Diceros bicornis minor: one gene and its partners. Each later gene encodes a partner of the first gene's protein in a complex. Links are inferred from orthologs where the notes say so. Each region holds a gene or a part of one and is shown on either strand. Other genes may lie near its edges.

What was found. Proteins that work in one complex are often made in the same cells at the same time.
Region 2: the proteins of GABARAP (region 1) and TP53INP2 are in contact, whole or in part, in a crystal structure (PDB 8T31), measured with the Homo sapiens proteins. The link is inferred for Diceros bicornis minor from reciprocal best matches to the Homo sapiens genes GABARAP and TP53INP2. Residues at the interface, in NP_009209.1 of Homo sapiens: Tyr5, Glu17, Ile21, Tyr25, Arg28, Pro30, Val31, Ile32, Lys46, Lys48, Tyr49, Leu50, Val51, Pro52, Asp54, Leu55, Gln59, Leu63, Arg67, Phe104; in NP_001316358.1 of Homo sapiens: Glu31, Val32, Asp33, Gly34, Trp35, Leu36, Ile37, Ile38, Asp39, Leu40, Pro41.
Region 3: the proteins of GABARAP (region 1) and STX17 are in contact, whole or in part, in a crystal structure (PDB 7BV4), measured with the Homo sapiens proteins. The link is inferred for Diceros bicornis minor from reciprocal best matches to the Homo sapiens genes GABARAP and STX17. Residues at the interface, in NP_009209.1 of Homo sapiens: Tyr5, His9, Lys13, Glu17, Lys20, Ile21, Arg28, Pro30, Lys46, Lys47, Lys48, Tyr49, Leu50, Pro52, Leu55, Gln59, Phe60, Phe62, Leu63, Lys66, Arg67, Phe104; in NP_060389.2 of Homo sapiens: Ala169, Glu170, Ser171, Trp172, Glu173, Thr174, Leu175, Glu176, Asp178, Leu179, Glu181, Leu182.

What each region holds. Positions count from the first base shown.
Region 1 is NC_080757.1:11,041,455-11,048,047, reverse strand, and holds GABARAP (gamma-aminobutyric acid receptor-associated protein), read right to left. Parts: upstream 2,544-6,593; 5' UTR 2,472-2,543; coding exon 2,382-2,471; intron 1,823-2,381; coding exon 1,744-1,822; intron 1,602-1,743; coding exon 1,483-1,601; intron 1,018-1,482; coding exon 952-1,017; 3' UTR 519-951; downstream 1-518. Other genes in the region: CTDNEP1 (CTD nuclear envelope phosphatase 1), read right to left, coding at 4,285-4,345, 4,655-4,739, 5,181-5,292, 5,521-5,637, 6,053-6,124, 6,340-6,458, 6,559-6,593. UniProt on the Homo sapiens protein: Ubiquitin-like modifier that plays a role in intracellular transport of GABA(A) receptors and its interaction with the cytoskeleton.
Region 2 is NC_080758.1:24,903,673-24,910,882, forward strand, and holds the start of TP53INP2 (tumor protein p53-inducible nuclear protein 2), read right to left. Parts: upstream 3,004-7,210; 5' UTR 2,811-3,003; intron 1-2,810. UniProt on the Homo sapiens protein: Dual regulator of transcription and autophagy. Positively regulates autophagy and is required for autophagosome formation and processing.
Region 3 is NC_080767.1:9,866,288-9,874,042, forward strand, and holds the start of STX17 (syntaxin-17), read left to right. Parts: upstream 1-4,752; 5' UTR 4,753-4,771; intron 4,772-4,834; exon of another isoform or gene 4,835-5,145; intron 5,146-7,755. UniProt on the Homo sapiens protein: SNAREs, soluble N-ethylmaleimide-sensitive factor-attachment protein receptors, are essential proteins for fusion of cellular membranes.

The sequences.
Region 1 (6,593 bases):
CCCCGGGGGACCGCTCCACTTCCGGCTAGACGGAGAAGTGGTTGCTGGGAGATGAAGTTCTCCTGGTGATAATGGCTTCCTCCTCCCAGTCTTCTCTCTCTCGGATTCCACTCCACTGGATCCCACACGCCGGCACAAAGTCTGGCCAAGTGACATGCAACTGAGGACAGAGTCCTTTTACCAACTCCCACACACGAAAATCCCTTCCTTAATCCCAAAGGTTATAACAAACTTGGATGTGTTTCTCTAAAGCAGGTACTTTCAAACTTTCTCCACAGGAACCCACAGTAAAAAACTTTTTATCAGGACCCCCTACACACGTATGTAAAACTGAAGTTTCACGAAACAATACTCCGAGTATTCCATCCATCACAACAAAAGCACCCTATTTATACACAAGGAAAAGCCTAACATCAACAGAATAAACCAAAATCTATTACTATCCCTCCAACCTCTTTCCCCACCAGTGAGGAGTAAAAAACAAAAGGGGGAGGGGAGCAACACAAAGCAAAATCCAGTTCAGCTTGGTGGTTTCCTCTTTATTGATGTGCCTCCTACCTTCCCCCACAATTCAGTCCCTTCCATCCACCACAAAAAAGAAGGTAGTGAAAGGAAAGGATTGTTGGGGTTCTGAGCCCCTTGGGCAGTTAGAAAGGGAAGAGAAACCAAAACAATCACTGGATGTGACAGAGATTGACAATCAAGAAGTCTAAAGCAGAGTGGCAAAGGTGGTAGAGAAGGGGGAAGAAAGGAGAAGGGAGAAGTAGTAGCGGCCATCTCCCCCATTAACCCTCCTGCTAAGACGGGCTGGAGGAGAGCCTCAAACATTAGGAAGGGCAGGTCCTGAATAATGGAGGTGGTGTTTGAGCCTGAAGGAGGAAGAGTAGGTCAAGGAAGGGGGGCCACCTCTCTCTCTGTAGAATGGGACCCCCCACCTCAGGGGCAGCAGCTTCACAGACCGTAGACACTTTCATCACTGTAAGCAATGTATAGAAAGAAGTCTTCTTCATGGTGTTCCTGGGGTAAAAGCAGAAAATTATGGTGCTCAGGCATCTGGGCTTTAGTTACTTGAACCACCCACTGCCCAGACACATTCTTCAAAAACCATTCTTTCTAAACACCCCAAAAACCAGTGCCTTGACTCCTTCCCTCGCTCCAGGCCCTAGTGGCAAGCAGTAGTATCCCTAACAGCAGTCCTGGGCAAAAAGATCTCAGACTGTTCTCCGCTGCCTTGGAATGGGAAGGGGACTGGGGAGAGTCTGGATCAGAATAGTTGCTCCAGCTCACTATTCTCACCCTTCTCTCTACTCCCACTGGCCCGTCCAAACCCCCAATCCAGAGCAATCCGGAAATTTTAAGGCCAAAGATAAAATTGAGAGCTAAACAAACCAGCTAATCCAAGAATTGTTGACCTAAAACGTTCTTCCCCTCAAACTCTTCTAACTCCTCTCAAAAGCCTCCACTACTTCCCGGTCACCATACCTGGTATAGCTGACCCATTGTGGCACTGGTGGGTGGAATGACATTGTTAACAAAGAAAAACAAGGCATCCTCAGCTCGGAGATGAATTCGCTTCCGGATCAAGAAGTAGAACTGACCAACTGCCAAAGATACAAAGTGTGATAAAGTCATAGAGGTCACAAATGCCCTCAAAAGAACAGCTGCTATATGTGGAGCTTCCTCCCACAGAGACTGCAACCCCCCCCACAGGAAGCAAACCTGAGTATTGGGTCAGGTTCCCACCTGTGAGATCAGAAGGCACCAGGTATTTCTTTTTGTCCAAGTCCCCTATCCGAGCTTTGGGAGCCTTTTCTACTATCACCTGACAAAGATGAAAATTAGGAGACATCAGGTATACAGCCTCACAGCTCCACCTGTCAAGAGCTGGAGCAACAATATTCCCAACACCCAAACCTACCCCCGACTCATTTTTCTTTGTCTCTGAACACGCGGTGCAGCCCTGAGTACAGATCCTCACCCCATTGACTGGAACTCACCTAAATATCCAGGATCCCTGAAGAGGGCGTCATAGTAAACAACTATCTTAATCAGATGGGGATGACTAGTCTGGGCTGACTAGAGCTTCAATCTCAAAAATCTAGCTAGCTGGGGGGAACGACCGTGTGAAGCTCAGGCTGTCAAACTCCCTACAGCCTCCCACACAAATCCTAAGATCTCTCTCTCCACCTACATCCCCTCGCCTCTAGCTCTACCGCTACCCGACTCCTTTCACCTCCGGTCCCAGAGACAGCAGTTTCGGCCTCGTTCCCAACCCCGCCACAGCCGGCAGCCCGATGCCCGCGCTGCCCGTCGCGGACCCAAGTCCAGGCTGTGGCGTCAGCGCCAGCGCCCGCGCCCTCGGCCCTGGCTACTGTCCTCACCGGGACCCGGTCCGGGTATTTCTTTCGGATCTTCTCGCCCTCAGAGCGGCGCTTCTCGAACGGATGCTCCTCTTTATACACGAACTTCATCCTCCCGGGAACCGGGCTGGACCGGGCTGGCCTGAGGGAACCCGGGGGGGGGGGCCGGGACGGGGGGCGGCGGCGGCGGCGGCGGCGACGCGCGGGCGGATTCAGCGGAGCGATCCCGAGACTTGCGCCACTTCCCTATTCACCAACCCCGCCCCCGCCCATCAAGGGTCGCCCCGCCTGCTATGTTACGCCACTAGCTCAGTAGCCCTAACGCCGCTAGCGTAGCACCACCTACTGACCGCCCCCCCCTCACGCCGTCAGCGTAATCGCTTTGGAATCAACTTGTCAGCTACGCAGGCTACGTAGCTGTCGTTGAAAGTAACTGAAAACCCATTTCCCAACCTTCCCCCCACGAAGCCGGGAATGAAAAGGGCTAGGAGATGGTAATAATTTGAGACCTGATTCTCCAAACGTTCTTTTCGGAAGTAACGCAGAGGAAAAAAAGAGCAGAGATAATTACAAGGATAGCTATTCACAAAACGTGCTGGTACGCTAAAGGCGGCCGTTGACACCAAAACAAAGTAGTACCCAAGCAGAGGAGGTGGTCTCCGGCAATTACGGACGACAAAAAGGAAATATATATTTGGAGAGACGCACAGAACGCTTAGGTTCCAGGAATGAGTGGACCAATAGGGACTGGAGAGGAGGTCCGAAAGGTAGGGACTACGTCAGCGCGGAAGAACACTTTAAGTATTTGTAACAGAAAAATCATGTGATCTTGGAGAAGGGCGGAGCGTCACGTGGCGGGTGCGAGGAAGTAGAGCCGGCTTCGGAAGGAGGGCGCTGAGGGGTGGAAGCGCCGGGGTGGAGCGGAGAGAGCCGAGGACCCGGGGCAGCTGCCGCCTGGGGGCAGCCCGTGCTTAGCTTGTCCACGTCAGTCCCCCAAGCGAAGCCCGGCCTCTCTCCAGCTATATGCCTGTTCTGGCGTCCAGGTTTCTCCTCCTTTCATACTTCTATGTTATACTGCGCTAAAGCTCAAGTTCCTTCAGGACACGCAGCTGTCCTTTCACTCCCTGCCAGGCCGCCCATCCTGTCACTAAGACCCTTCCCGCCAAAGCATAGATATTGATGTTAACTCTTTCATCCCCGAAAAGCCAGCACCACCTTTCCTCCTACCCTTCTTGGGCCCAACAGCAGTCTCTTTCCCCTCTGCCTAGGGGACAGGGAGGGTGTAAACCATGACCCCTCCCCTCATTTCCCCAAACCCCAGAGAAGGCTCTAGGGCAGCTTTGGTTTCAAAGTTATAATGCATGGTTTAAAAGAGAGGAAAGAAAAAAAAGAGAAAGGTGGTTACAGATCTGAGGGAATCTAGGAAGAAGGGAAAATAGAGTGAAAAGTAAGGGGGGGACAAGTTTGGGGAAAATCCAGTGGCCCAAAATCCCAGTTTCCCACCCACAGCCCAGCCCTTGGAGTGAAGAATTAGTCATTTTTGTACAAGAGTTTTTAAAAAATCAAATCACAACAAAGCTGGCTTGGCTTCTCTTTGAGCCTCCTAGATTACCGAATGTCTCTCACTCTGGCCAGTCCTGTCTCTCCACCACAGACACTGTTTCGGCTCTCCTAGGTCTCGGCTTATGTCCCAGTCTAGGGTTTCCAGGGAGTGCGAACACGAAGTTAGAGTGAGGCTGCTTCAGAGTCTGGCCCATGTGTCCATCCAAACTCCATATGGAGTGCGGGGCTCCCAGGGCAGAGAGGGGTGGGAGGGGCAGACCCTGCCCATGCAGTCCTCACCATTTGACAGGGCATCAGACGGCATCCTGAGGGCTCACCCTCCCTTCCCCCCCACCCCACTCAGGTGGAGGGGGAGCAGCTGTCACCAGAGCCTATGTTGGTGAAGGTTTCGGCTCAGCACAGAACGAACATCAGCGGTGAACCTGGGATGACAATAACTTGCATTGGTAGAGTCCTTATAGTTGATATCCTCACAACACTACTGTAAGGCAGCCTCATTGGAGACGTGGGGCAGAAATGATCACCATTTTCACTGGATGAGACTGAGATTCAGTTTGCCCAAAATTCAATGGCTAAAAGTGATAAGCTTTAGTGTAAGAAGACCTGGGTTCAAATGCTAAGTTCTTAAGGGAAGAGAGATAAGTTAAGTAAAACAGGACAAACTTTTATTCCCTCTTGGGATCCCCCACCTCCTCCTTGCCTCGGAAATCTAAATGTCTAGCTTCCCTTACCTGAGGGCATCCAGCATCGGAAGCAGGTTGAGAAGGGCGGTATCACTGGGGTCACTGAACCAGGATTTGATGGGGATGGCATTGTCTAGGTTGAGTGAAGATACACATGAGAAGAAACAAAGAATTCAAGAGAGACACTGTTTTTTTCTTTTATTTCGGGGTAGGGATCATTCTTTAAATACATACCTCACTGAACCGCACCCTGCCCCCACCGCCCAAACTCAACAACCTAAGTAAAACCTTCCTGATTTATTCTCCAAAATAAAATTAAACTTTAATCACCATATCTCATACTAGTGTGAGACTTTTAGCAAAATTTATTGCCATTGTGTCTCACCTGAAGCAAGTTTGATATGGGAAATCTAATGTATGAAGTGGACATGTGGCAGAGGAGGGATGTCTCATTTAAAAGAGAAACAATTTACATCCTGACCTACAGTAAACCAGGGAATCCCAGCTCTATGCATTCAAAATACCTCCTCAAAACCATTTCCTGGTCCTGCCAGACTCACCACCTTCCCCATACCTGGATGGCTCCTGTAAGCCCCTGGAGAGTTATCCAGGATCACAATGCTGGAGAGGTCACTGTGGACCACAGAGAGGTCCTTGATGTAGCTGCCCAATTCCAAAGTGCAGTGCTGGAAGGCAGGGTGAGCTGGCATCAGAAGGAGACTCGCGCTCTGTGACTGCTCCCCTAATCCCAACAACACCCATGGGCAGCCAACTCTCACAACAGAGATCATACCATACACCTCCCCCTCATGCCCAGAAGGTCCCATTCCAGGGCAAATTGCCTCAAACTCAAATCCTGCCCTGGTGGTCTGCCTCCCAAGCCTAACTCTTAGACCTGGATTCGAGCCCCTTACCTGTCTGTAGTATCTCCTCTTGAGAATGCTTCTGCTATTGTCCAGTTTATCTGCCACAGCAGAGCCATAAATCTCCATGCTTGCTGTGAACACCACCAGCTCATACCACTGGCTCACCTGAAATAGATCGCAGGAAAGAGGTGTCAGAAGAGGTGATCATTCATTTAGACATACAGTTCCCTTTCACTAGGAATCCAGTCTAGTCCTTCAGGCCTTTCAGCAACATCGAATGTCTCTGGGAACACAAAATTCTGAACGCCCCCAAACTCAGAGTCTTAGGCACCATACACCCTTAAGATTCAGAGAGGTGAGAACAAAAGAGCAGGAAGCCTGTGGAAAAATAGAATTACATCAACACAACAAATGAACCCAAACTATCAAAAGCCATTTTCTAATCATCCCACAACCTCCCCTCTCCAAAACTGCCCTTACCCATTTCTCCTCACCCCTTACTTCCTCCAGATCCTCTAAATTCCCAGAGCCCTAAAACCATTCCTTCATCACAGAGCTCCCTTTAGCTGCGCAAACTCACCACTTCTAAGAAGAAATCCACATGGGGCCTCTTATGTACAAAAAACCGGACAGGATGTTTGTCTATTACCACCTGTAGAGGAACGGTGAAAGGCTGGGAGAAGTCCTGAGCACAACACAGGCCTAAAGGACACCCCCTACCCTCCCACTGCCTGCTTCCCCCCTTCAGGCTCACACTGGTGCCAAGAAATGGAGACGGGGACAAGACTCTCTGGGACCAGGAAAGGGAGTCCAGGTCTAAGCAGAATAATGGACATAACCATTTCATCACTTCCCACCACCACACACCTTGAGGATGAAGTCAGGAGGTGTTCCAGGCCGGACTGTGGGCCTCAGGACCCCATCATGATGGGAGTGAATAAGTGTCTCATCCAGATCCAGCACCAGGATCTTCCTCTTCACCTGGCCTGAACCACAACGGGAAGGGATAACACCAACCAACCTCCAGCCCAGACCCTGAACCCTACTACCTCACCTTAAAACAGTCTTCCCAGCCAGCAAACTCACCTAGCCGATTCCGGGACACAGGAGATAAGGGAAGG
Region 2 (7,210 bases), on another chromosome or scaffold:
GATCGCACAGCCCTCAGTTATGTCTGTCAGATGAAGTTCAAAGATCCTATTCCCACAGGCCCTCCCCTCTCTTACCCCCTATTCCTAAGCTCCTGTTCAAGGGCAGCATCCCTGGCTAGGAGGAGGAAGATCAGGTTGCCTGGCCCCAGGAAGACAGCGGGTCAGTGGGAGGGGATGAGGGAGGAAGGGAGCTATCAGACCCCAGGAGCCCTTAAAGATGAGCGCTAAGGGTTGGACCAGGACTCAAGCCCCCAATCAGTCCTTCCCTGGGTAAAGATGAGAAAGGAGACCCCCGGCTCCATGGAGACACCAAGGAGGTGGCTGTAGATCTGCCCCCCTCCCCTCCTCAGCCTACCTCAGGACTAGATCTGGGCTAGGGGCTGCTGGTCAGACACCCTGAATGTCCCTAAAGCTTAGCCCTCCACATCTTTCCCCTGAAGATCAACAGTTTTGCTGCTGAGCCCCTTATCGCCTTCCTCTAGGGATGTTTCCACACTTCCTATAGAACTCCGGGGGGGCATGTCCACATTCTACTCTGACTGCTAACCTACCCCGGGTATTTCTGTGCCTGTTGCTACCTCTCCCATTCCCTGGGAATGTTTTCACATTTGCCACAAAATCACCTAACCTGCATACCCTGACAATATTCCCACATTTGCAGACCCACAGTGGACTCCAGAAGGAAGTGCTCCCTGGGTGCTGGTGGGAGATCTACAGGGATTATGAAAGGTTGGGCCACCCCTACCTAGTGCCTGCCCGGCACAAGCCATATATCCCAACCCGTCTGTAGCCACAGGAGTTAGTGACTCAGTTACCAAAAATCCAGAAAGTTTGGCCCCTCCTGAAGGAAGGGAAGTTTGGGGCCTTGATGAGGCACACCCTCCTTCCAAGGACCTACTACTTCATTAGAGAAGATGAAAGGGAAGTGAAGAGCTGTTTCAGGACCAACATGTTCACCCAGCCCATTTTACAACCTGCAGGTCAGAGGACATAAGTCTGTCCAAAGCCAGCTAGATGGTGGCAGGGCAGACCTAGCCCCAGGTCACTGAGCATCCAGTCGAGAGTGTACACAGTAGGGAAATCCTCAGCAAACAATCCCCCAAAATATAATGATGCAGGGGAGATAGGGAGGCCAGACAGGAGTCAGACCTTGATCGAGTTACTGCCCCCCTCAGAGTCCCTCTGCCCACCCCTTTTATAAAGGGTCTGGGGTTCCTGGCCCCAAGATTCATTCTGTGTACCAAGCCTCTCTGGGCCTCCTCAAATTATAGACAGATTGAGGTAAGGGAGGCTCAGGGAAGGGAAGCTCCCTGCCCAAGGTCACACAGCAAGTCAGTGACAGGGCCAGGAATAACAGCAGCACCAGCCAGCCAGCACCTGCCCCCTCACATGACCACTGGGGGAGCCTCTCAGATTTTCTTTCCCAGCCCTGCCAGCTTCCTGATTCTCACATTCCCAGCTCTGCTCCAGGGAGAACCATTCCCTTTAATAACTACAGCAGCTGTGCCCGGAATAGCACTTGAGCCCCAAGCCACCTCTACCCCAGCCCATCATTGAGCAAAGCCCAGGTTGGGATGGGGTTCCTGGTCCAGCCTCTAGGCCCATCGACTTGGAAAGTCAGAAGCTCTCTTTCTCCTACCTCTTCTCTGGCCCCTCTCTGTGAGCAGAGAGAGGGGCAGCACAAGCCTTGTAATCACCAGCACTTGGCCAGGTCAGTCCTTCCTAGCTGACAACTCTGGGAGTTAGGGAGGTGATGAAGGGCCAAACAGAGGAAACTCGTACCTCCCACCCCACTCCTACATCAGCCCTGGAGACACCCTGATGCAGCCATGACTCACCTTCCTGTGGTCAAAACAGCTGGGAAGCAGCAATTTTACTGGGCTCTAGGACTCCAGGGTACAGAGAGTCAGGGCCACAAAAGGGGACCCAATCTCCAGAGACCTCCTGGAAAAAGATCCAGGAGTGAGAAGACCTACCAGCCCTATCAAATTTGGATGGTGTTGAGCCTAAGGTAGAGTCTCCAATGGAAGGAGGATGTGTAACTTGTTACTAGTATTGAGCTCCTACTAGGTATGTGCCCGTGCCTAATGTGTCTGTCACTCACTCAGTAGTCATGACTCTAATTGGCTGCATGAGCTCAAGTAAGCCACTTCTCCTCTCTCGGCCTCAGTTTCCCCTTCCGTGAAATGAGGTCTAAGATCCCTGTTTTGGGGTTGGGAGTGATGTTAGCTAAGGCGCTGCACACATGCCAGGGATTAGGAGGATGTTATTATGTTAGTCCCGGGGGGGCAGAGCCTGGAGCCGGAGGGAGGGGATTCCACCATCTGGCGCTGCCCCAACACCCTGGAGTTGGAGATACAAGCTGCCTCTGAACTCCTGACAACCCTCCCAACCTAGATCCAGCAGGGCCGTCCGAACCCCTCTCAAGTTGGCAAGGAGAAAATAGGGGATCAGAGGCCCGCCGCAGCCCCTGAACTAGCCCAGCAAACTGCCGAGGCCCCTCGGGTCCCGCTGCTTTTCAGCGTCCCTCACCCACCGGCCCAGCCCGGACCCAGCGCCCACCGGGTCACTGGAGGACAAGCGACCCGAGCGGGGAGGGGGCGGGGGGGGCGGTGCCGGCCTTGGTGACGTCTCAATGTCATATGCAAATAGGGAGACGTCATGGTCTACCGGCGTGCGGCAGCCAATCGGGAGACCCGAATGCAGCCTCGGCGGCCGCCGGCAAAAACAGACAAAGACCCGGGAGCAGGGGGCGCGGGGCGTGTCCCGGGGCGCGGGGAGCCCCCTGGCCGGAGCTGCTCCAGACTCACCTGGGGGCGAGGGCGGTGCTGTGGGCGCGGTGGCGCTGAGGTAGTTGTGCGGCGGAGCGTCCCAGGGTCGGCGGCTGATCACAGGCCGGGGCGCATCGCGGGGGCTGGGCGGAGAGGCGGCGGGGCTACGGGCCGGACGCTGCCGGCTGCTGCGCTCGCCCGCGGGGCTTTGAGTCTGTGCAGCGGCTGCTGGGCTCACGGCACAAATTGGAACGTTCAAACAGCTGATTGTGACGTCACAAAGGGGCCCGCCCGCCTCACGTCACCGGCCGGCGGAGCGGCGGCCAATCCCAGGCTGCGGATCCCCCCTCCCTGCCCCCTCCACGGTTCGCTGGCTAGTGGCTCCTGCCCGGGAGCCCAGCTCCGAGCCTCCGGGGGCCGCCCCGAAAGGTGACTGCTGGGAGCTTGTACCCCCTGCCCCGGGCGACCCACAGACCTCTCAGTGAGGAGAGTCCTCACTCCTTCCTACGGGATCCCCATCTTCCTGCATTCCCTTCACATATCCCAGCGCCCTCACCTCTCCCACTCCCTCCATATCTTTTCACCTGCATCCTGTATCCAAATCCCCCAATCTGTACCCGCTTCTCAACTCCACACCACGTCCCTGCACCTCCATTCTCCCCACCACCTTTCTCCTTGCTCTCCCTCGCTTTTCTCTCTCATCTCCACCCCAACACATTCTCTGCTTTCCCACCTCATTTTTCCTCAGCTGGGCAGGCTTGAAAGGTGAGCGACATCCCTCTTTTCTGGTTCCGGAGGAGCACTCGGGAGTGTAGAAGAGTTGGTTAGGCTGACGGGAAATTTTGCAGAGTAGGACTTGGAGAGGAATTGCTCTGGGCTGAATAAACATTGACCTAGAGACTGTTCTGTACGGGAATATTTACACACCTTATTTAATCCACGTTGCTACTGGGGCTGGACAGAAGAGTGACAGGACAGGGATTATTAGTCCCGATTTTCACACGGGGAAACTGAGGCTCACAAATCTCACTGTTAGTATGGTGATTCCTATTCAATAATGCATTTAACAAACATTTATTGAGTACCTACTGCTGCCGCTGCCAGCCCACTAGCGGACACTTATTGAACAATTACTGAGTCCCAGGCACTGTGCTATAGTGCTTTATATGTGTTTTGATCTTCACAACAACCCCAAAAGGTGAATATTATCCCCATTTTCCAGTTGAGAAAACAGACTCAGAGAGCCTAAGTGACTTCCTAATGTCACAAAGTTGTAGTAAATGGCAGAGCCAGGATTTGAACTCAGTTCCTGGCCCCAGCCCTCTCCACTCTCTACATGCACCAGACTGCCTAAACCCCAGAGTGCTCCAGCCTCCCCAGGGAGACCTGGGCTCAGTCCTGACTGCCCCAAACTTGCTGTGTGATCTCAAGGAAGTCATGTTACCTTTCTGAGCCCCAATTCCCTTATTGTCAAACTTAACATATCCAAGCTTCCTTCTGGAGATTCTTTCAAACACTCCACCCTCAGGATTCTGCCAATCACATGTCCTAAGCCCCCAGCTCTCCCAGTGGCCTGAGAAATGCCTGGGGAGAGACCACAAATATACATCCTCAGAATCTCTAGGGCCAGAGGTTCTGAGTCCTCTCTCAGTAGAGCAGGACTGGTGAGGGTGGGTCTGAGAGCTGCCCATCTGGCCCAACAGGAGGCAGGTGGTGAGCTAGGCCAGAGCTTCATGCTCTGGTGATAAAATCCTGTCCCAGCCTAGTTTGAAACCCCAGAGGGACTCCTCAGCCCTAGCAACCAGGAGAAGGAGCCAGGAATACCCAGAGGCTGCTGGGGGAGGAGGGAGCAGTGTTTTGGCCTTTGGAGTGGTGTCCCCAAAGTGTCCTCATTCCAGGCAACCCTGAGCCTCTGCCCATCACATCTACTTCCTGCTAACCTCATACCCTCTCTTGACCTCCTTGCTGACTTAAACTAAATAATCATTAACACACCTTTCCTGTCACACCACTTGCCTGCTCTAAAACCTTCTGTGGCTCCCAAAGTACCACACTCCTCACACAGCATTCATGGCCTTCTATGATCCAGCCCCAGTTCTCTCCAGCTTCATCTCCCTTCTTCTCCAACATGTGCCTTGTGTTAAGGTCAAACTCCTCTTTGTCTCTTCAACACTCTCCCACATCCACCCCTGCCTGGTATGCCCTTTTCAGGCCTTTCTGAATTCAGATCTTTCCTGTCTTCAAGATTCTACTCACCCCTTCTTCTAGGTAGCTTTCCTTGTCCCCACCCATGTGTCCAGAGCTACCTTGATGGACAGTCATTTATTTGTTCAATAAACAGTAAGTGAAGATGACTAATTGTGGGTGTGTATGTGTCTTACCAAGTGGATGATTGGCATCCCATGGGCAGAATCTTTGTCCACATACTCCCCCACCCAGCCTGCGCTGGGCCTGGCACAGAGTAGACTCCAATCAGATCAGCAGTTAGTGCTCAAGAAGAGTGGCTGGTACAGGAGTTGACACCTGGACCTTTTATCCTGGTACAGGACGCATTTTGTTGGGCATAGGTTTCTGGTTCCCCGAGCCCAGGGAAGGGGGCTCCTGACATACACTCTGATACCCTAAACAACCTGGATTCTGCTCCCAGCCTTAGCTGAACCCCGTGTACAGACTGCTAGGTCAGATCCCAGTCTTCCATTTCTCTGAAGAGTCAGGGGTACCCATGGAAGTTGGGGGCTGGAGCCCAGTAGAATCCCTTCCTGAAACCCCTGGGACCCATCCCTCCTCACTACAGAGATTTATTATCAGGGCTGGAGGAAACCTCAGCTCTCAATTCATCCAAACTCCTCATTTTATAGGTGGAGAAACTGAGGCACACTAAGGCACACAGAGCCCAAGGTACTTGCTTAGAATTATAGAGCAGCAGAGCCATCCACTGACCCTGGCCTGGGGGAGTGGGCTTAGTATTCTGGGACCCTGGCTTGGGCCTGGAGGCTGTAAAAAGGGGCAGTGGGCACCAGGCTGGGAGTAATCCTGGAGTCTCATTTCCAATCAGACATAGGGTGCCACTCCTGTGTACATACATGGATATGCATATGCATGGGCATCTATGTATACACATGAAGCATCCATGTACAGATATACACACATGTGCACATGAGCTCACATCCATGGGGTTAACCCATCCAATCCCTGCCCAGATGTAAGCACTTGCTCAATTTTATGGGCCCCAGGTTTGAGGTCAAGAGGTCACCCTTCTATTCACCACTAAACCCTGGGGGCTTCCCAATGGCTTGGGGCCCCCCATTTCCAAGGGCAAAGATGTGTCAGCCTGGGTGTGTCCCTCACAGGACCTTGCGTGTACTCGAAGGTATGAGCCTGCTGGAGAACTGTCTCACCACTCCCCTCTCCCCCCTTACTCCCTAAGCTAGAAGGCAAGGCTGAGAGGAAGCCAGTGGGTAGCTTGGAATCTGAGTCAAAACCAGTAAGCTCTGATCACTCTAGAAGCAGAGCTCTCCCCCTACCAGCCCCAGATCTACAGAGTTAAACAAATAATACTAATGATGAGATCATTGAGATTTCTATGTGCCAGGTACTATTCTAAGTCCTTACTTGTGTTGATGACTCATTTAATCTTCACAATAATCCCCTAATGTAGGTAATATTCTTCTCGTTTTACTGATGAAGAAACTGAGACAGAGAGGGGAAGAAATTTAACTGGTAAAGCCAGCTAGGGCAGACATAATCCCCAAATTCCCTCAACAGATAGGCCTAGACCTTAACAAGGGGCCATATGCCCTGAACTCCTACTCAAAAAGATTTGTTGTTCAAGCCAGAGATGTCTGAATTGAGGGTAACTGTGGTGTGTGTGTGTGTGTGTGTGTGTGTGTGCATACACACCATGAAAAAGACCCTGGTCTGATTGTCAGTAAATCCAGATTTCAACCCTGGTTCTATCAATCCTGGCCTCACTGCCTGGCCCTGGGCAAGTCACTTTCTTTGTCTGAACCTCAGTTTCCCCATCTGCAAAATGGCTGGCTCCACACTCCCTAAATAGTACCTCCAGTCCCAATCTCCAGGCATCCAAGTTTGTTTGTGTGAACTGTGCTTAATGCCCCTGACAAGGAGGAGGTGATGGTCAGGACAGGATTCATTTCAAGAAGAGGAGATGGGTGGCAGGAAGCCAAATGCCTGGCTTAGTTTTAGTCCATCTGCTCATGGTGTGAGGGTAGGGTGTGACTTTGGGGCTCCATGGGTATGTATGTGAGTATGAACAAGTACCTGAGTGAGCTGCTCTGGTGTGAGTGCCCTGCATGAATTCCCACATTTGGAACTTTTGAAGGAAAATGGTCCCTCAAGCTCTGAGACTGGAGAGGAGAGTGTGGACAGTGGGGTTCCCTCGTGCTGCACCAGCCACTGTTCTAGGAGCAAATGGACTC
Region 3 (7,755 bases), on another chromosome or scaffold:
GGCTCTGGGTATATTTCAAAATGCTTTATTTTCCCCTCCTCTGTCAGAAACATGAGGATTTCTTCTTGGCTCTTCACCATGAGAACCTGGTGAGGTTCCTGGAGGTAAAACCCGTGAAAGTGTGGGGTGCTCCCTAAGACTGCAGCCCCCAGGAGTTCCTCAGTCTCATACTAGCCCACGCTCCCCTTCCAACAATTTGTCAAAGTTATCATTTAAATGTGCTTACCAGCTTAAGGCTCCAGGGGCTTCTGTTTCAGGTAAGCTGATCTTGGCTGTGATTCTCTGTGTTTGCCTGTCTCTCCAGCATTTGGGGGGCAGTTTGCCCTGCAACCTCAAATCTCTGATGAGTCCAAGAAAAGTAACTGATTTAAAGTTTGTTTAGCTTTCTTCTTGTTGTAAGGATGGGAGCGATGACTTTCTTTACATGTCAAAGCTGAAACTGGAAGCCTTCAAAACTCTGTAAAAGCAAACTTGAAAAGCATTTTGTCATCTATTCAATTATTCACTTATCATAAACGCAAGATATTGAGCTAGACTCTATGGGTGGATGTGGAGATAAGCAAACACAGATCCTGCCCTCAAGGAGTTTATATTCTAATGGGATGGTACAAGACATCTTCTCAACCCCTGTGCTTGAACGTGTCAGAGGTGTGTGGAGGCGTTAACGGTCCCAGCTCCCAGTGCGCCAGTGGCAGAACCTGAGAGTAGCGTTCTCTCTTAGTTTTTCTTTATACACATGATTTTCTATTTGTGCCATCACAGGGAAAAAGTTGAAAAGTACTGGAGGTGGCAACAAGACACATACCAAATTACTGGAATAAAATGTAGACAGTGATGTGTCAAAAAAAGATCAGATTATAAGGTAGGTTTTGGAGGAGGGAGGCATTAAATCTAGAAATTCTGAAAATATTAGGAGAGGTCACATTTGGGGTGAACATGGAAAGATGAGTAGGATTTGGATGTGCAGAGAGGGAGGGACAATTGGTGGAGAATATTCCAGGTGGAAGGCACAGGGCAGGACTGGGGAAAGGACTGGGATGAAGAATATCGAGTTCATGGATGGACATTGAGGGTATTATGCAAAGTGAAATAAGTCAGAGGGAGAAGGTCAAATACCGTATGATTTCCCTCATTAAGTAGTAGATAATAACAACAACAAACAAACACATAGAGACAGAGATTGGATTGGTGGTTACTAGAGGGGAAGCGGGGAGGGAGGAGGGTGAAAGGGATAATTCGGCACATGTGTGTGGTGATGGGTTGTAATTAGTACTTGGGTGGTGAACATGATGTAATCTATGCAGAAATAGAAGTATAATGATGTTCACCTGAAATTTATACAATGTTATAAACCAATGTTACTGCAATAAACAACAACAACAAAAACAATATCGAGTTCAGTTTGGTTAGAGCGGAGGATGCGTGAGGGGAGTAACGGGTGATAAAAGTTAAAAAGCAACGTTGGGCCCATGTGGAATATCTATCAATTTGCATGTCTATATATCTATCATGTGATATTAATTGACATTCATGATAATAATAACTAAGGCACTACAAAATTCAAGATGCCTTGTAAATTGCCAAAGTTTAAATAACATTTAATATGATTGCAATGCTGAGTATGTTTACTGTGTTTTAATTGCAAGCATAGTGTAAAGTAAAGCTGCGTCCTTTGAGGGTGAGTTGGATGGTGAAGGGTGTGAGTATGAGGAATTAACGTCAGCGAATAAATCAAAAATCACAGCGTCAAAATCACCCTTGAAAATTGTTTCAATTGCCCATAAGGTCCATTAAGCATGGTTTTATAAATACTACCCTATGCAATAATTCTTAGGCACACTAGGTTTTGAGATTAAGGTAATTATAAGAACAAAAAGTGGGGGAGGAGTCTATAGGCAGATGTCTGAGCATTTAAGCTATTCTACATAAAACGATTACCAAATTCCTAAGCGGTGAATGGTTGATGAATGGAGAATTCTAGTGTCACTACCTTCAGAGTTAACTCCTTTTGGTTTGATATAAGGTCTCTATAAATGCAATGTACATGCACTGATTGTTTGGTGATGGTGTGTGTGTGTGGCGGCAAGGGATGGTAAAGCAGAAAGTGAAGAGGTTGAGGTACTAAAGTCAGTGAACACTACCTATAAGTTTAAAACAAAAGAAACAAATGATTTTGTATCTATAACAGTTTGCACTCTCTTAACTGAAAGTAGTAGAAGTTCACCTGAGCTGGTTCAAGCAATTAAAGAAAAAGCAGGAGTGGGGACTGGGTGTTTAGAAGGCTTTGGGGTGTAACCAGACCTAAGTGTTAGGATTCGGCTAAGCCTCAGGAATGAAGTGGACCAGGAATTTGAATGTCCTCCAAAACTCTTGCTTTTTTGTGGATCTAATCATTCTTACCTCTCTCCCCTCTCTTTTTATCTCTTTCACAGCTTTTTATTTTATTTTCAAAGGGGTGAAAGGCTTTAACAAGGGTAGGGATTACTGCTGCTATTTCAGCACTATTTCATAGAGAGAGGTAATAGAGAGAAATAATATCAAGGAAGTAGCTATTCTTGTTTACTAAGAGGTTTTGTTTGTTTTAAATCAAGAATTGCTAGTTCTTTACTTCCTCTTTTTATTGCGGTATAACTTACATACAGTACACAAATCTTAGGTGTATAGCTTGATGAATTTTCACATATGTAATCACACCAGATCAATATATAGAACATTTCCAGTACCCCAGTAAATAATAATATATACCTTTCCTTAAGAAACAGCTTTATTCAGGTATAAGTCACATACAATAAACACATATACACATATTTGAAGTGTACAATTTGGCAAGTTTTGATATATGTACACACCCATGCAACTAGTACCACAATCAAGATAATGAACATATCCATCACCCCCAAAGTTTCCTTTTGCCCCTTTGTAATCCTTCCCTCCACCCCCACCCCATTTAGCTATTATTCTTAACTCTCCAGATATGTCCTATAATTCCTTACAAACACAAACACGATTCTGCTATTTTTGAATGTGATCTTTTCTCCTCCTACATTCTTAAATTGGCAATTGTAGTTTAGGAAAGCTATTTCTCTAGCCACTTTAATGAACTTGTTTCAATTCATTCCTTTGGATTTTCCAAGTTAGCAATCATAATACCTGAAAAGAATTATATATGTAGATATATTTATATGTGTATATATATGTATAGATATATATATAAAAACATAAATACACACACACACACACACACACACACACTCTTATTGTTTTGTCTGGACTTCCTGGTTCAGTTAGGACCTCAGGGAAATGTTGGATAGTAGCAGCAGGCCTGCTCCTAACAACTTCAGGGCCCAGGCCAAGAGCACAAAAAGAGACCCACACACCATATGTCTAAATATTTAAAGATTATAAATCAAGTTAACAAACTGTTAGATTAAAAAGTTCTAGCCTGCTCCCTTGACACACCTAACTTTGGCAAACATACATATAATAACCTAGAAGGCTAGGTTCAAATTTAGAATCCTGAGTGCCATACCTCCCTATTGTACTTGAGGTAGCTTTTTCAGAACTTAACTTGAATGACCTTTACTTCAAAAGATCTTGTTTAACCGACCCTTGCATAAAAAATATTTTCCCATGGTATTGCCTAATACTTTAATTTTTCTCCTTAGAATTAAAATTTTATAAGCACCTCATTCCTAGAGTAAAACATATATCAACATCCACTATACTCACAAAGAAAATCCAAACTGCTTAGATTTTGTGCCTTATTTTAGCAATTGCCTTTCAAGGCTTTCTTACAGGCCCCTAGTCTTCCTTGGTCCACAATTCTCACCTCTACATCCACTCCACAGGAAGATTCTTAAGAACTGAGTTTCCTTAGCTACAGCTTGAACATCCTTATGACTTCTGAGGACAATACCATCAGTGGATACATTCTAAACAAGTCATCTGAATATTCACCAACACATATAAAAAAGGCTGGGTCTGGAAGTCAGGTCATCCAGAAAGCACCTGTGACCCGGCCAGGCCTTCAAAGCTAGCCAGCTGCTTCTTCCTTGGTAGCAGCTGGTAAGGGGAAGAACTTGGGAAGGAACTTAGCAAACCCAGCTGGAGTTCCAACTCGTTCACTAACTGGTTGAACTGGAGTGAGTCACTTAAAACTCTCTGTTGAGCCCTGGTGTCAGTATCTATAAAATCGGGACGAGGACCTTGGCATTAAGGGCTCCGTCAGCTTTGGGGTCAGAAATCACGACTTGTCTGAGCTTCAATTTCTGTGCCTGTTACAGTTAAGACTTGTGCCCTGTCCACCTCACAGGGTTTTTGGGGGCTCGAGGGAGAAGGCACAACCTTTCTGAGCTTCAGTTTCTACATGTGTAAAGAGCTAAGAACACACGGCCAGCCCGCCAAGAAAATTCCTGGAAGAAGAGAGGAAAATGGACAAGAACATTGCAAAAGTAGAAGGGTACATAAACATGAATTGTCTCATACTTAAAACACAACCAACAGACCTAAAAAGCGTTTGTGCGCCTCTTTCCTCCTGGCTTCAGTGTTACAACCCCACAACGAAAATCTAGACCACTTTTTAAAAGGATTCTTGAGGTCCCGGGCGGCGACTGCGTCAGTCCCACTAATCCGCGCGCCAGCCACACCCCGCGAAGCCTGGAATGGGCGAAAGGGGGCGGGGCCCAGCCCGGCCGGCCCGCCGCGCCGCCCCGCCCCGCCGCGCCGCGCCTGCGCCGTGCGCACCGACCGGCCTCCAGCGCCCCGGCCGGAGGTAAGGGGCTCGCGGGAGGTCGTCTCGGGGGCGTCAGGCCCTGACGGGCGCGGCGGGCGAGGCGCTGCCTTGGCGCGCAGGAGAGGCGTCCCGCGGGAAGCGGGGCATCAGGTCGGAAGTGCGAGCGCCGTGGAGCTCCTCTCGTTTCCCAGAAGTGGCGGTTTCGTTTTGGAAGCGCTGTTTGAAGCGGGTATAGGGAGGCGGCCAACGGGGCGAGCGTGTGGCCTCCCGGGGTCGCGGGGCGCAAAAGTTCCTGCGCCTGCCCTGCCCGTGACGCACGGGGGGCCGAGGTCGTCAGGGTCGCCGGCGTCTCGGTCTCGAGACCCGCCCGCACATCCGCTCTCGGGTGGGGGCGTTCGGTGCGGGTGGCCCAGGTGCGCCGTGGGTGACTCTGCGGGGGATGATGCGAGGCTCGGGGGTGGAGAGGGGAGGACAGGGAGCGGGGGGGTCGGAGCTGCTGTCAGTCAGACCGGGAGGTGGTCCGCAGAAGGTACCGGGTCCACCTTCACTTCCTCCTTTTATGAATTCGGAACCAGAGGCTCAGAGAGACCACAGGGTAGGACCAAGGGCCTTGACTTTCCTTTCCAAATTCAGTGCCCCGCCCCCCAGTCAGAAACACGGGGCGACGTGCCTGAGGAAATCCCGTGCCACCAATGTGGGAGCTCTAAGCTGATGGAAGGTGTGCATCACTTTGCGGGGGAGGAGGGGGGTTGCCAGCGATTTTGGACTTTTTCTGAGAAATGGGGCTTTTCACTTATAAATACTCTCAAGTAATGTAGTTAACCTCCCAGTACTTTTTCCTCGTTGGAAACATGAGTATTATGGTACAGAGCTGATAATAGTTGTTAGCACTGAGTGATCAAGTTTGTAAAGCACCTGGCACTCCCCCCCACCCCCCAAAAGTGTTAGTGCAGCGGATATGATTGTAGTTCTTGGACTTGTAGATGTTTGACCCGTGTTATGTGAAACATCAGTTCATATATATTTTTTAAAAAAGGCTTTTTGTTTTAAAATAATTTTACGATTATGGAAAAGTTAGGAAAGTAGTACAGAGTTCTCTGCAACTTTCTTTAATGTTAACACCTTATATAACTATAGTACGATTACCAAAAGGGAGAAATTAACATCAGTACAATACTGTTAACTAAACTACCAACTTTATAAAGATTTCATCATTTTTTAGACTAGTGTCCTTTTCCTGTTCCAGGATCCAATCTAAGATCCCACGTTGCCCTTAGTTGGCATGGCTCCTTAGTCTCCTCCAATCTGTGACAGCTCCTCAGTCTTTTCCTGCCTTTCATGACCTTTAACTTTTCAAGAGTAGAGTCCTGGTCAGTGGTTTTGTAGAATGTCCCTCAGTTGGGTTTTGTCTGATGTTTTAGCATGATTAGATTAAGGTTATGCACTTTCGTTGACACTACAGAAGAGTAGGTGCCCTTCTCAGCTCATCATATGAGCGGGTGCATGATATGACACATTTGGTGTTACTCTTGATCACTTGGTTAGGGTAGTGTCTGCTGGGCTTCTCTAAAGTTGCTATTTCTCCTTTTGTAATTAATCCATATCTTGGGGCAGAACTTTTAAACTATGCAAGTATCCTGTTTCTCCTCACACTTGCGCTTGCTGATTTTATCGTCCATTGATGGGTCTTGCCTTCAGTAGTCATTACTGTGATGTTCTAATGGTGATTTTCTGTTTCTCTCATTTCTTCTTCATTTATTAATTGGAGAATTAAAAGGAAGAACTGCCTCTTTTCCCATTTATTTATTTTATTCATATATTTATTTGTATCAGTATGGACTCATTTATTTTTCCATTGGTTATTATTCTACACTTTTGTTATTTAGTTTATGTCTCAAAGTGTTCCAGCTTTAGCCACTGGGATTTTTTTCTGGTTGCTTCTTGTGCCCTTTTGATAGGACCCTATCCTTTTTTGAGAACTTCCTTACTTTCTGGCACCATAAGATGCTCCAGGGTTATCTTGTGTTTTCCCTGCCCCAGCCCTGGAATCAACCACTTCCCCCAGGACACCTGGTTTCTTTTTTATGAAGAGTGGTATTTAAACACCAAGATCTGGGTGCTAGGTATGCTCACTGCTACTGGGGTATCATTGCTTCTAGTGCCTGGCAGAAGACTGCTAGGAAAATATATATATCTCTCTCCACATCCACATATTCCATGGAGATATATATACACACACATATATATGTATCCATACATACACAAAGATTTCTATTTATTTTTGTACTTATTTTTATGTATATATACACAGCCATATATATACAACATATGTCTGTATATATATGTCAGTATATATATTTTTAAAAAACAAAAGTTCATTCTGATACCTCCAATTGTAATTAACACCACAGGGTTCACTCTAGTCTTGCCCCTTATCTTTCCTTGACAGTGAGAAATCTGGCTTTCATGTTCTACAAAATATTTTCTTATTTGTTCAATCCTAGTTTACACATAAAGTGATTTCAGGAGTTCTAACCCATGCTTCTATGAGAAACCAGTTACTAACTAGAGTACAGTATAGTTGTGTGTAGTTCTTTGTGTCTTTAGCCCTGTAGTATCTAGTTACAGTACTGTTTTCCAAAGTTACCTAGATTAGTTATTTTCTTCTCCCACTGCTTTCAGTGTGGTTATGCTATTCATTTGTAATACAGTTAATTTTATTTTTTATGGTTTGTATGCTATTTTGGCTTCCCCCACATCTTGTCGTTGTTTTTGTTCTTCTAACTTACAAAAATTCACTCTTTGTAGTGTACAGTTCTTTGAGTTTTGACAAATATGTATAATTGTGTATCTACCACCACTGTAATGATACAGAACAATTCTGTGAGCCCGAATCTTCCATTAGGCTTTAAAAAAACTGTTAAAAGTAATTCTACAGAATCGTGAGAAATTAGGCACTTTTGCATGTTTTGTTTTTTTCATAGGCTTGTTTTACACAGTTGTGATGTTAATATAAATGTATT